Linked DNA regions of Elephas maximus indicus. The protein of the gene in region 2 purifies or fractionates together with the protein of the main gene of each other region. This does not show direct contact. Links are inferred from orthologs where the notes say so. Each region holds a gene or a part of one and is shown on either strand. Other genes may lie near its edges.

Region 1 (3,747 bases), on a different chromosome or scaffold from region 2:
TCCCTTCTAAGTCGTCCAATACCATGATATATCTCATTTTGTATTCTTTGCTAATGCATTTAAAAAAAATTTAGAACCTAATAAAATCAAGCTCCACAAATAACGTAAACATGAAGTAAAATGTCTGAGCTCCCAGATCACTGCATTCTGCCATTTAGAAATTTAAACTGAATTCTACAATCGTTAACCAAAAAGTTCACTCATTAGTAAAAAAAAAAAGCCATCCACAAAGCCATCCACATTCAATACATACTAATTAATAACGTTGTTTAACTTTGATCATGATACTGTATATCCTCTAGAATGCCTGAAAAGGAATATATTAACAATCAACAACAATTAGAAAAAAGTGTAAGGATGCGAAATGACTGTAACATTACTCAGTATTAACACACACTGAGGGCTTACTCTTGCAGAGTGTGTGTGTGTCCGTAAGTTATTGGATGTACATATATTCATGTAATTTTAGGGGGAAAATCAGTTTCTTACATTAAGATACCTTCACAGGCTGGTATCTATGCAGCAGCTATAATGTCGTTAACTTCTTAAGCTCTTAAAACATTTGCTTTGGGGGAGGAGGGAAAATAAAGGCCAGGAAAAGAACAAAGTGTTACTGTTTCTTGGGGTGAATTCTCATACATACTTACAAAATTATTTTATTTCAGGATTAAAACACTACACATTGTTATTACTATGATTCACCTTGTTGTCATTTCGCATTTTTAAATACATTAGTCAAAAGAGTCTTACACTTTGAAAGCCTTTCATATTCTTGAGCCCTGCAAAATACACTAAACTCCAGAGCGCTTCATCTTTCATCCACCAAGCGTAAAACTCAACTCCCCCTTCCCTCAAACAAAGCTGGCAAACTCTTTTCTGAAAGGAGTGACTCATAAGCCATAGAAAATCCACAACTTTTTTTTTTTTAACCTAACAAGCTTAAAGTAGCCCTGGTGACGTAGTGGTTAAATTCACCAGCTGTTCCTTGGAAACCCTAGGGGGCAGTTCTACTGTCCTATAGGGTCGCCATGAGTTGGAGTAGACCCGATGAAAATTTTTTTTTTAATCAAATTTAGTGTAAGGCATAGGAAAGAAGTGGAAGGCCAGACGACAGACAGCTAAAAGCTGTCAGTCTGTTTACTCCGATTGCACCACACTGTGGCAATACCCAAAGGTTCCCAGAACTAACTGTTCAAACTGCAGTTTCTGGACAGGCTGTCCTAAAAGTTGAATAACTCCTTCAAACCGATCACCAAGAGACTCTGAAAATAACGACCGTCTGCAAATATACTGCACTCCGTTTGCAAAAATTTTTCGAGGTTACCAACAGCCCTTAGTCAGGCCTCCTGGAAAGAACACAGAATCCTTACGTGCTGAAGCAAACCACCTCCCTGCTGACTGAAGAGAAAAGGAGGCAGGTTCATCTGCAACAGCCACACCGCATCTACAACATCAATTCCCGCAACAACCCCTAAGGTTAACTGGGAAAAGACTGCATGACGTTCCCCTGTGGGAACTCTGGTGGCACACCGGTTAAATGCTACGGCTGCTAACCAAAAGGTTGCCAGTTCGAATCCACCAGCCGCTCCTCGGAAACCCTACGGGGCAGTTCTACCTGCCCTACAGGGTCCCTACGAGCCACAACTTGCTTAACAGCAATGCGTTAAGCGTGACACCCTTAGAAAGGGGAGCAACAAGCCGGCGTTGTGGGAACGCGGCAACTCGGCCGTACGCACCGCGCGCTCGGCGATCCCAGGAGGCCCGCGGCCTCTCCCTTCGCGGAGCAGAGACCGGGGCAGCTCAGGGTCCGCCCCGCATCCCTCCCGCCCCCAGCCGGCTCGGCTCCCGCGCCCCCGGGGCCCCGCGCCGCCCTGCAGGCCGCCCGCACCCCGGCCCTCGCCCGACTCACCTGGTCCCCCCCACGTTCAGCTGGACGATCTCGCCGCTGCCAGCCGCCGCCGCGGGGAAGCTGCCGCAGTGCCCTCCCGCCATCTCCGGGGGCTCCGGGAGCGCCAGCCGCCCTGCCTCCCCGGCCAGGGCCGCCGAGCCCGGGGCCGGAGCCCGAGGAGGCTGGGGCGGCTGCAGGGCCGGCGGGTGGCGGCGGCCGGAGCGCGGGAGGGGCGCGGGGCCTCCCGCACCTTCCCGGCGGCCGGGCGAGGCTCCCTGGCGTCCGCCGCGTTCCCCGCTCCTGCCGCGCCAGACGGCGGCCCAGTCTCCACCTCTCACGGCCGCCGGGCGGACCCGCGCCTCAGCTCAGCGCTCGGCGCCACGGTCGCCGCCACCGCCACGGCGGCCGCTGCAGCCGCAGCCTCAGCCGCCTCGGAGGGATCACCGCGCGGGACAAAATAGCGCAGCGCGACCCGCTCGCCCGCCGAGCCGCGGAGGAGGGGTCACCGCGCGGGACAAAATACCGCAGCGCGCACCCGTTCCCCCACCGCAGCCGCAGCCCGCCTCGGAGGGGTCACCGCGCGGGACAAAATACCGCAGCGCGACCCGCTCGCCCGCCGAGCCGCGGAGGAGGGATCACCGCGCGGGACAAAATACCGCAGCGCAACCCGCTCGCCCGCCGAGCCGTGGAGGAGGGGTCACCGCGCGGGACAAAATACCGCAGCGCGCACCCGTTCTCCCGCCGCAGCCGCAGCCCGCGTCGGAGGGGTCACCGCGCGGGACAAAATACCGCAGCGCGCACCCGCTTGCCCGCTGCAGCCCGAGCACGGGGCGGAGGGAAGGAAGGCGGGGGAGGAGCTTCCCGGCCGGCGCGCTGGCGCTGACGGCGGGCGGGAATGCGCTCCTGACACGCTGCCTACCAGGCGGGATTTCTGTTCTTCCCGCCTCTCCTGGCGACCCCAGGCCGTTTCCCTCGTACGTTTAGGGTTTCCTAGCACCAGTGGTCCAACTTCCAAATTGAGGGCAACTCTGGACACAGTTACATTGTCCACCTTCTCAACACGGATTTAGGTTGTGAAAGTAAAAATGTCCTAGAGATCTTAGCAGTCCTATACACAACAGAAGGAAACACTGCCCGGTCCTGAGCCGTCCTTACAATCGTCGTTATGCTTGAGCCTATTGGTTCAGCCACTGTGTCAATCCACCTCGTTGAGGGTCTTCTTCTTTTCCGCTGACCCTGTACTCTGCCAAGCATGATGTCCTTCTCCAGGGACTGATCCCTCCTGACAACATGTCCAAAGTATGTAAGACGCAGTCTCGCCAGCCTTGCCCCTAAGGCGCATTCTGGTTGTACTTCTTCTAAGATTTGTTCGTTCTTTTGGCAGTCCATGGTATATTCAATATTCTTCGCCAGCACCACAATTCAAAGGCATCACTTCTTCGGTCTTCCATACTCGTTGTCCAGCTTTTACATGCATATGATGCAATTGAAAATACATGGCTTGGGTCAGGCGCACCTTAGTCTTCAGGGTGACATCTTTGCTCTTCAACACTTTAAAGACATCCTTCACAGCAGATTTACCCAATGCAATGCGTCTTTTGATTTCTTGACTGCTGCTTTCATGGCTGTTGATTGTGGATCCAAGTAAAATGAAATCCTTGACAACTTCAATCTTTTCTCCATTTATTATGATGTTGCTCATTGGCCTAGTTGTGAGGATTTTTGTTTTCTTTATGTTGAGGTGTAATCCAAACTGAAGGCTGTGGTCTTTGATCTTCATTAGTAAGTGCTTCAAGTCCTCTTCACTTTTAGCAAGAAAGATTGTGTCATTTGCATAACACAGATGGTTAATGAGTCTT
Region 2 (3,747 bases):
CAAATGAGAAATTTGGATATTTTAATGATATTCAATTTTTTGGTTGGCTTTAAGCAGTGGAAACATTTTTAGTATGAAATGACAGGAGAAATCCCAGTGTAGTGGGAGTGTGTATTTGAGGTGAAAAAGTTGGTGGGGATGGGATAGCAGAGTACAGGGCAGGCACAAACCCAAGGACCTTGGCAGCACCACAAGGCTTCAAGGTCCTGGCACAATTTCAGTAACCCTGAGGGGCCCTTGTTCTACAAAGATTAAGAAAGCATCAGCAGACACACTTGCATATTAATTGGCAAAATAAATAAATAAATAAAAAACACATACAATAACTTTGTCCAAGCAATTGAAAGGGCCTTAAGGATTTAGATGGCAAATTAAATAAGAAAAGATCCAAAATGTCTTTTTTGGAAAATTATAGTGAGAGGTACACTGGGCTGAAACTAGTGTCCCCCCATCTAGGTCAATTGGCTTAACATAGTTTATTAAGAAAATGTTCCACATTCCACTTTGGTAAGTGGCATCTGGGGTCTTAAAAGCTTGTGAGTGGCCATCTAACATACATAAATTGGTCCTATCCCACTCAGAGCAAAGGAGAATGAAGAAAACCAAAGACACAAGGAAAATATTAGCCCAAATGGCTAAAGGACCAAATGAACCAGAGACTCCACCAACTTGAGACCAGAAAAACTAAATGGTGCCCAGCTACCACCAATGACCACCCTGACAGGGAACACAACAGAGAGTTCTGAACAGAGCAGGAGAAAAATGTAGAACAAAACTCAAATTCACCTAAAAAGACCAGACTTAATGATCTGACAGAGACTGGAGGAACTCACAAAACTATGGTACCTGTACGCACTATTAACCCAGAACTGAAACCATTCCCAAAGCCCACTCTTCAGACAAAGGTTAGGATTATAAAACAAAAAATAATACACATGAGGAGTGTGCTTATAGTTCAGTCAAATATAAGAGACCAAACGGGCAGCTCCTGTCCAAAAGCAGGATGAGAAGGCAGGAAGGGACAGGAACTGGTCGAATGGACGCAGGGAACCTGGGGCGGGGCGGGGGGGAGTGTGCTGTCACATTGTGGGGATTGCAACTAATGTTACAAAACAATATGTGTATAAATTTTGAATGAGAAATTAACTTGAGATGTAAACTTTCACCTGAAGCACAATTAAAGCAAAAAAACAAAACTGGTATCCCCAGCCTCCATCTAACTAGCCCCTTCTCACCTTTTCATCCTTGAAAAGATGTTGTGGGCAGAATCCACATATGGAAGTGTCAAACTGTTTTAGTTTCCTAACTGAACAGATTCCTGCACCATGAGAACATTTCCACTGCAAATGTCCTGCTCTTTACTGAAGCTGAGCACTTGAATGGGCAGGACTGGTCTTGTCTTTACACTCTGGGTTTCCTTTTCATACTTGCTGTCTCTCTCTTCTGGGGAAATGTCTTGAAAGCATGTCTTTAACACTCCATCCTCATGGTGTTTTTTTCTCTCTAGTTCTTTGCTTCTGCATTTGCCCTCAAAATTGGGGGTTAGCTGAGTCCCCCAAACCATTTCCTGACCCATGGATTGCGTCTGCAAGCCTTACTTGTCCCTCAACAATGATTATTGCTGACGCTTGGCTGGCTTTTTTCCTGTTCAATTCTTTATTTCTGCTGAAGCTCATTTGTAGGCAACACTTCTGAAAATATACTGCCTTAACCTCAATTTTTTTTCTTCTTGTTCATGTTGAGAGACAGAAGTTATTTAGGCAATGAGACTGAAGATGGTTTACACAGATGTCTGAGTTAGCCAAAAAACACATTGTTCTTACCATTAACATTCCTCCTTACTGTCATAGAAGCATAATTTAAGCAGCGATAACCACAAAATTATTCATATTCTACTATTGACCCTCTCGCTCACTGTGAGGCTCATCTAGAACATCTAGAAATTCTAGAACTTCTTTTGAGAGTTCCTAAACAATGACTTCCCCTTTTGTGGTAGAACCGTATTATAAAACTAAAAAAGAAATTCAGTTTAAGTATCTGGCTTTACTTGCTTAACACTCGCTTTCATTTCAAAATGACCGTAAATATGAATACTGCAATATTTCCATCATTTCTTTAAATGCATTTGAAGGGAACTTACAGTTCTCCGGAGGATGCCCGTATGATGATAATCCCCCTTGCTCCACCATAATGCTGTTGGCCTAGTGAACTGAATGCTGTAATCCTGTGAACAACACTTCAAAAATGATTTAGAAAAGCTAAAGTCTGTCTTGTAAACCCCAGAACTTGTCTCCGAAATCTTGCCTCGATCGGCTTCCAAAGTGTAATGTAACATGATTATTCTCCTCTGGGGAAACCTGCGAAACAGGTCTTCGAACTCCATTTAATGTGTCAGAGTTTTAATTGATTCTTTACCATGCCTATCCACCCCATAATAGCAGTGTAAAGCACAGGACGTGTTTTACGGGAACAGTCACCCAGAGCTTAATTTGTTGTTGCTCAGCAGATAGACTATTTCACAATGAAAACAAATCTGTTTTGGATCCAGAGAATTTCTTCCTGATGAAGTGTGCTGGGCTGATACTGAGAGTGTAACCCTTGATATCCTCCAGTTAGCTCTGATGTGGTTGCAGGGAAAACTTAGCCACTGTTCCTTGTTCATTCTAGAAGAACGTTTTGGTTGACAAGTAGAGTACCACAGAATTCTTTGATCCCTGAGTCCATCTACTTTTCTGTTAGTCCTTGGACCACAAGGCAGGGGTGATCCACATGCTCTTATTATAACCCCATATAAAGCACCTTCACACATGCTGTCTCACTTGACCCTCACAATAACATTGTCAAGATGTCAGGGAAGGTATCATTATCCCCATTTTACAGATAAGAAAACTGAGGTCTAAAGAGACTTGCAACCTACTCAAGGAATCACAGATAGTAAGTGGCTGAGTAAGGACTAGAAAGCAGATATTCTTTTCAGTAATTATTGTCTTCCTAGGGGAATTTTTTTTTTTTTTTTAGGGGAATAGCCAAAACTGGTGCACCAAGGGCTTACTGCAGCAGAGCTCCCCCCACCTCCCATTTTTTTATTTGTTTACTCAATCATCAAACATTTGTAGTGAGCATGAATTTTCCAGTTCAAAATTCAGATCTGCGAAACAAAGGTAGCTTTATTTTTCTATAACTTCTGTTACATTTTCTCTTGGGTCCTCATTCCTCCTGGTGGCAGAAACTTAGTTAATTCCAGATTTTCTGAGCCAGTTCAGAGATTTCTCCATGTCACTTTCTCCCCAGGGTTGTGTATAAGTTCAAGTCCTTGGAGTGTGTGTGTGTGTGCATGACTGGGATAGAGCAGGCATCTGGCGTTCAGTGGTCTTCTTTCTACCCTGACTACTGTTGAAATGTGTGGCCTCTGAGCACGACCTAGTCAGGCTTTTAGCTGTCGGGTTTTTAGTTGCTGAGAGTTCTGCATTCCCAGTTGGTCTCCCAGTGTTTTCTAAATTCTGACATCTATTGTGATATTTTTGTTCTGATATCGTAGCATCTGCAGAACCGTTGGCTCTTTCAGCTATCTTCTATGCCTTCTTTGTGTGTGTGGGAGATGTTTGACAGCTCTTCTGAGCAGTTCAGGGAATCTCGGGAATTCCACAGGGCTATCACAGGCCCTCTCAGTCTAGCTTTGTCAGGCACCGTTTTAATTCTAAAGCTGCCGTCTCCAATCCTACTGTGTATGGGGATGCACAGAAGAGC
Region 3 (3,747 bases), on a different chromosome or scaffold from region 2:
GTATCAATGACCACAGTAGTGACTGCCGTGGCAAACACTTAAAATATGCCATTGACTCCCCGCCCACGCAGCAGGGCGCGCAGCCCCCTGGCGAGGAGATTTTAGGTGGTGCAGGGACGTGGCATTCAACAGTATTAAATCACACGGCGAGTTACTCCTTCTTTAGTGCCTCGGGTCCAGCCACAGACGAAGACTTAGTTTGGTGCCATTACGAAGCCTCTCTAACACTTGCTAATAGCCAAAAACAAAAACCACCCCAAACCTGTTGCTGGTGAGTCGATTCCGACCCATACCAACCCTATAAGACAGTGTAGAACTGCCGCATAGGGTTTCCAAGGCTGTAAATCTTTTACAGAAGCAGACTGCCACCTCTTTCTCCTGAGGAACAGCTGATGGGTTCCAGCCGCTGACCTTTCCGTTAGCAGCCAGGGATAACCAGGGCTCCTTAACGCTCCCTAATGTTTCCTTTTGAATAAATGGAGAGCAGGTAAGCCCTTGGGAGGCAAAAGCATCTAGCCAGAATTCAATGACACTGTTTGGGTTAGAAAAAAAGGAAGAAAGACCTGGCCATCTACTTCTGAAAATTAGCCAGTGAAAACCCTATGGATCACAGCAGAAAACTGTCCAGTTACCAACAATCATGAAGATGGGGCAGGGTCAGGCAACTTTTCACTCTGTTGAGTTGAAGCTGGCTTGAGGGCAACTAAGATGGCACTAACAACAACTACCGTATCTTTGAGTTTATTTTTCATGTTTACTTCCTATTTGTGGTATAAAAGCACTGGTACAAAGTTTGTATTTAAACGAATATTTTTTGAAAGCCAAGTAAACCTAACTTAATAAAACAATAGCACAGGTTTTCACATTGGGGGTACCGCATTAAGGCAGTCGGTAATGACTGAGGTTAGAGAAGTAAAGCTATAATTACAATTTCCCTACTCTGTTCCTTCCACCAACAAGCAAAGCCTAGTATGAGCCCTGGTTGCAGTGGTGAAAGCGCTCAACTGCTAACTGAAACGTTGGCAGCTGGAAACCACCAGCGGCTCCGGAAGAAAGATGTGCTTGTCTGCTTCCGCGGAGATTTACAGCCTTGGAAACCCCTATGGGGTCGCTATGAGCCGGGATATGAGCGGACTACAGTTCCCAACAACCCCTGGGGCATATTTTCCATGGCCAGCGGGCTAGCTGCTCTAGGGTCTCAAGAAGGTAGTAGTCACAAACTCTCCTTTAATATTTCTCCCCTCCATGCAAAGGATCCTAGCTCTTCCTAAGGCTCCCCACAAGGAAAACAAACCTGGACTACAACTCCCATCAGGCCCTGGGGCACACTTCTGCGCTTCAAAAAAAAAAGACTCGATGGCCCAATGCCTCATGGGAAATGCAGTTTCCTACTTCTCCCAGGATCAGCCCAAGCATCTGATGCAGAACTACAACTCCCATTATGTCCCAGGGCTAACGGCACAGGCATCCAAGAAGCGGGCCCGAGGGAAATGTAGTCTTTAATTCACGACCCCATCCATTTGAAAGGAGTGCCCACCTGGTGGGGGTAGGTAACCGTTGAAGAGGACATTTCCACAAGAAGATCGATCCAGCTCTTCCCGCAACTGCAGGCGACGAACTGAGAGAGAACAACTCTAAGGCTGGGACTTGGGGGGGGGTACTGAAACAGACTCCTTTCCCCTCCCCAGCTCTTTCCCCACAGAATACCATCGCTACTTTCGGACCCAAGACCAAAGCCAGTGTTCTCAGCTCTAACTCAACCCTCTTTCACGAGGGAGGGGGAAGAGGGGCAGGGAGGAATCAAGGAGATTCACTTGAAAGCTGGTGTTCTATGCAAATGAGAATGCTAATTTCGGACCTCCACTTACCCAGAGGAGTGAGCCCATAGAACTGGGCTTCATGGAGGAGGCTGGAACCGTGGACACCCCTGGGTAGTAGAATTAACTAGGAGTCAGGGTCTGAGGGACGAGGGAAGCGGACAGGGGGCAGAGAATTCTGAGAAGGAAGTTTCAAATCTGCACGGAGAATCCCCAGGGGCACCGATTCTGACGGGATCAAGATTCTGAGTAAAGACATGCGGGTTGGATGTGTGCGTGTGTGTGTGTGTGTGTGTGTGTGTGTGGACTCTGGGGGCATATAATTTTCATATGAGCAATTTAATATGATTCTGAATGAGAATTCTAATACAGTGAAGCTTAAGTGAACATTCTGAGGGGGAGAAGAGACTTCTCAGGGAGTGAAGAAGGTGGGGGACCCCCTCCCTTTGCCCTCCATGCTAACCTGGGGTCTAGCTCTTTGGTGCGCAGAAAGTTGAGGATGGGGGCGAAGACGGTGGGGTCCCTGTCAATGAAGATCTGTGGGAGAGGGGGGCAGAGGATGGACAGGGCAAAGAGCCGGGCCGAGTGGGGAGTCCTGCCCCTCCTCCTACCGGCCCCCCAATTCCTCCCCTAGTCTTACTCACCGCTCCTGTTTCATCTTTTAGCGTGGAGATGCGTCCGCTTAGAAGACTGAAGTGAGGGTACCCAGAGCAAGTGTTACGGGCGGGAGAGTTTAGGTCTTTCCATCCCTTCCCTTCTCGCCCCTCTCCCCCTCCCACCCCAAATTCTCTCTCCCGATCACCTGGAGAAGAAGGAATCTGGGATCCAGGTGAGAGTCTGACGGGAAGTACTGAATCTGGGCAGAGAGGGTGAGTGGACGCATAAGCTGATAGGGGTAATTGGAGGGATGCGACCCCCCTCCCCCAGGATCAGGCGAGTTTCTTCCCCTCCCCCGGTGCTTTTCCAGGCTCTCGCGCCTCCAGAAGGGGGCGGGGCAATCCTTGACGGACAGGGATTCCCCCCAGGAGAGGCGGGCACTCCCACTCCACTCCCCGACCCCAAGGGCTCCTCTACACTCACCTCTTGCCCCCCACGTTCAGGTGAATCACCTCCCCGGGAGGCCCCCGACCCGGGACCCCCTCAGCTGCAGTCGCCGCTGCTGCCATGGCCCCTAAGCGAGCCGGCCAGCCTGTGCCAGCTTCCGCGTGTGCACCCAGACCCCGCCCCCACCGCATGCTCATTGGGTCGGTGGGCCCTGGAGCCGCCGGCGATTGGATAGTGCCCTCGCTCGTCACAGCTAATATGCCCGCCTCCTTAAAGGGCCTTTCTCTACTGGCTCGGACGGGGCGGACCCGGCGGCTACTCTAGGGAAGCTTAGCTGCTGCGGGTTAACAAAACACTTCCCCATCCCTTCCAGGGTCTCCTATTTAGGTATGGCATCTAGGTGCCTCGTCCGGGACCCTGTGCTTGGACCCCGAATTCAGTCCACACCACGGGAGCCATTTAGATATTCTCCGCACCCGCGGTCCCGCCTACAGCCTTCCCCCAATCCTGGCGCGGCCGATAAAAAGAGAACCAACCATCACAGACCGTCAAAGCCAAAAGATTTATTATAGGTACTTACAGTGTGCGCCCGTCACACCGCCCCACACCCTCAGGCCCCAGTGGCTTCTCCTGGCTGCCCACAACCCGTTCACCCAACCCCCAGGGAGGTGCTCCAGCCAGAAGCATGCAGGGGGAGGGCTCCCCCTCGCCCCACCCCTCATAAAAGGGCATTTACAGATGGAGGGGAGAGGAGAGAGGAAGACAGTTTTGAGCTTTGACGCTCCCTCGCATTTAAAGCCTTCGCGGATGCGGGGCAGGGGAGGAGGAGGTTGACGTTTTGCAAAAATAAACTAAGTCAGTAATTAACCGCATGGCTCTGAGGCGG

What was found.
Region 1: the proteins of PTPN3 (region 2) and KCTD3 purify together in Homo sapiens (affinity purification with mass spectrometry; 4 studies listed by BioGRID and IntAct, with this or other methods). This does not show direct contact. The link is inferred for Elephas maximus indicus from reciprocal best matches to the Homo sapiens genes PTPN3 and KCTD3.
Region 3: the proteins of PTPN3 (region 2) and SHKBP1 purify together in Homo sapiens (affinity purification with mass spectrometry; 4 studies listed by BioGRID and IntAct, with this or other methods). This does not show direct contact. The link is inferred for Elephas maximus indicus from reciprocal best matches to the Homo sapiens genes PTPN3 and SHKBP1.

What each region holds. Positions count from the first base shown.
Region 1 is NC_064842.1:4,530,051-4,533,797, reverse strand, and holds the start of KCTD3 (BTB/POZ domain-containing protein KCTD3), read right to left. Parts: upstream 2,677-3,747; 5' UTR 1,993-2,676; coding exon 1,910-1,992; intron 1-1,909. UniProt on the Homo sapiens protein: Accessory subunit of potassium/sodium hyperpolarization-activated cyclic nucleotide-gated channel 3 (HCN3) up-regulating its cell-surface expression and current density without affecting its voltage dependence and kinetics.
Region 2 is NC_064827.1:59,014,650-59,018,396, forward strand, and holds the start of PTPN3 (tyrosine-protein phosphatase non-receptor type 3), read right to left. Parts: upstream 2,310-3,747; 5' UTR 2,190-2,309; coding exon 2,141-2,189; intron 1-2,140.
Region 3 is NC_064829.1:111,083,996-111,087,742, forward strand, and holds the start of SHKBP1 (SH3KBP1-binding protein 1), read right to left. Parts: upstream 3,012-3,747; 5' UTR 2,984-3,011; coding exon 2,898-2,983; intron 2,674-2,897; coding exon 2,620-2,673; intron 2,508-2,619; coding exon 2,462-2,507; intron 2,355-2,461; coding exon 2,281-2,354; intron 1,928-2,280; coding exon 1,869-1,927; intron 1,619-1,868; coding exon 1,538-1,618; intron 1-1,537.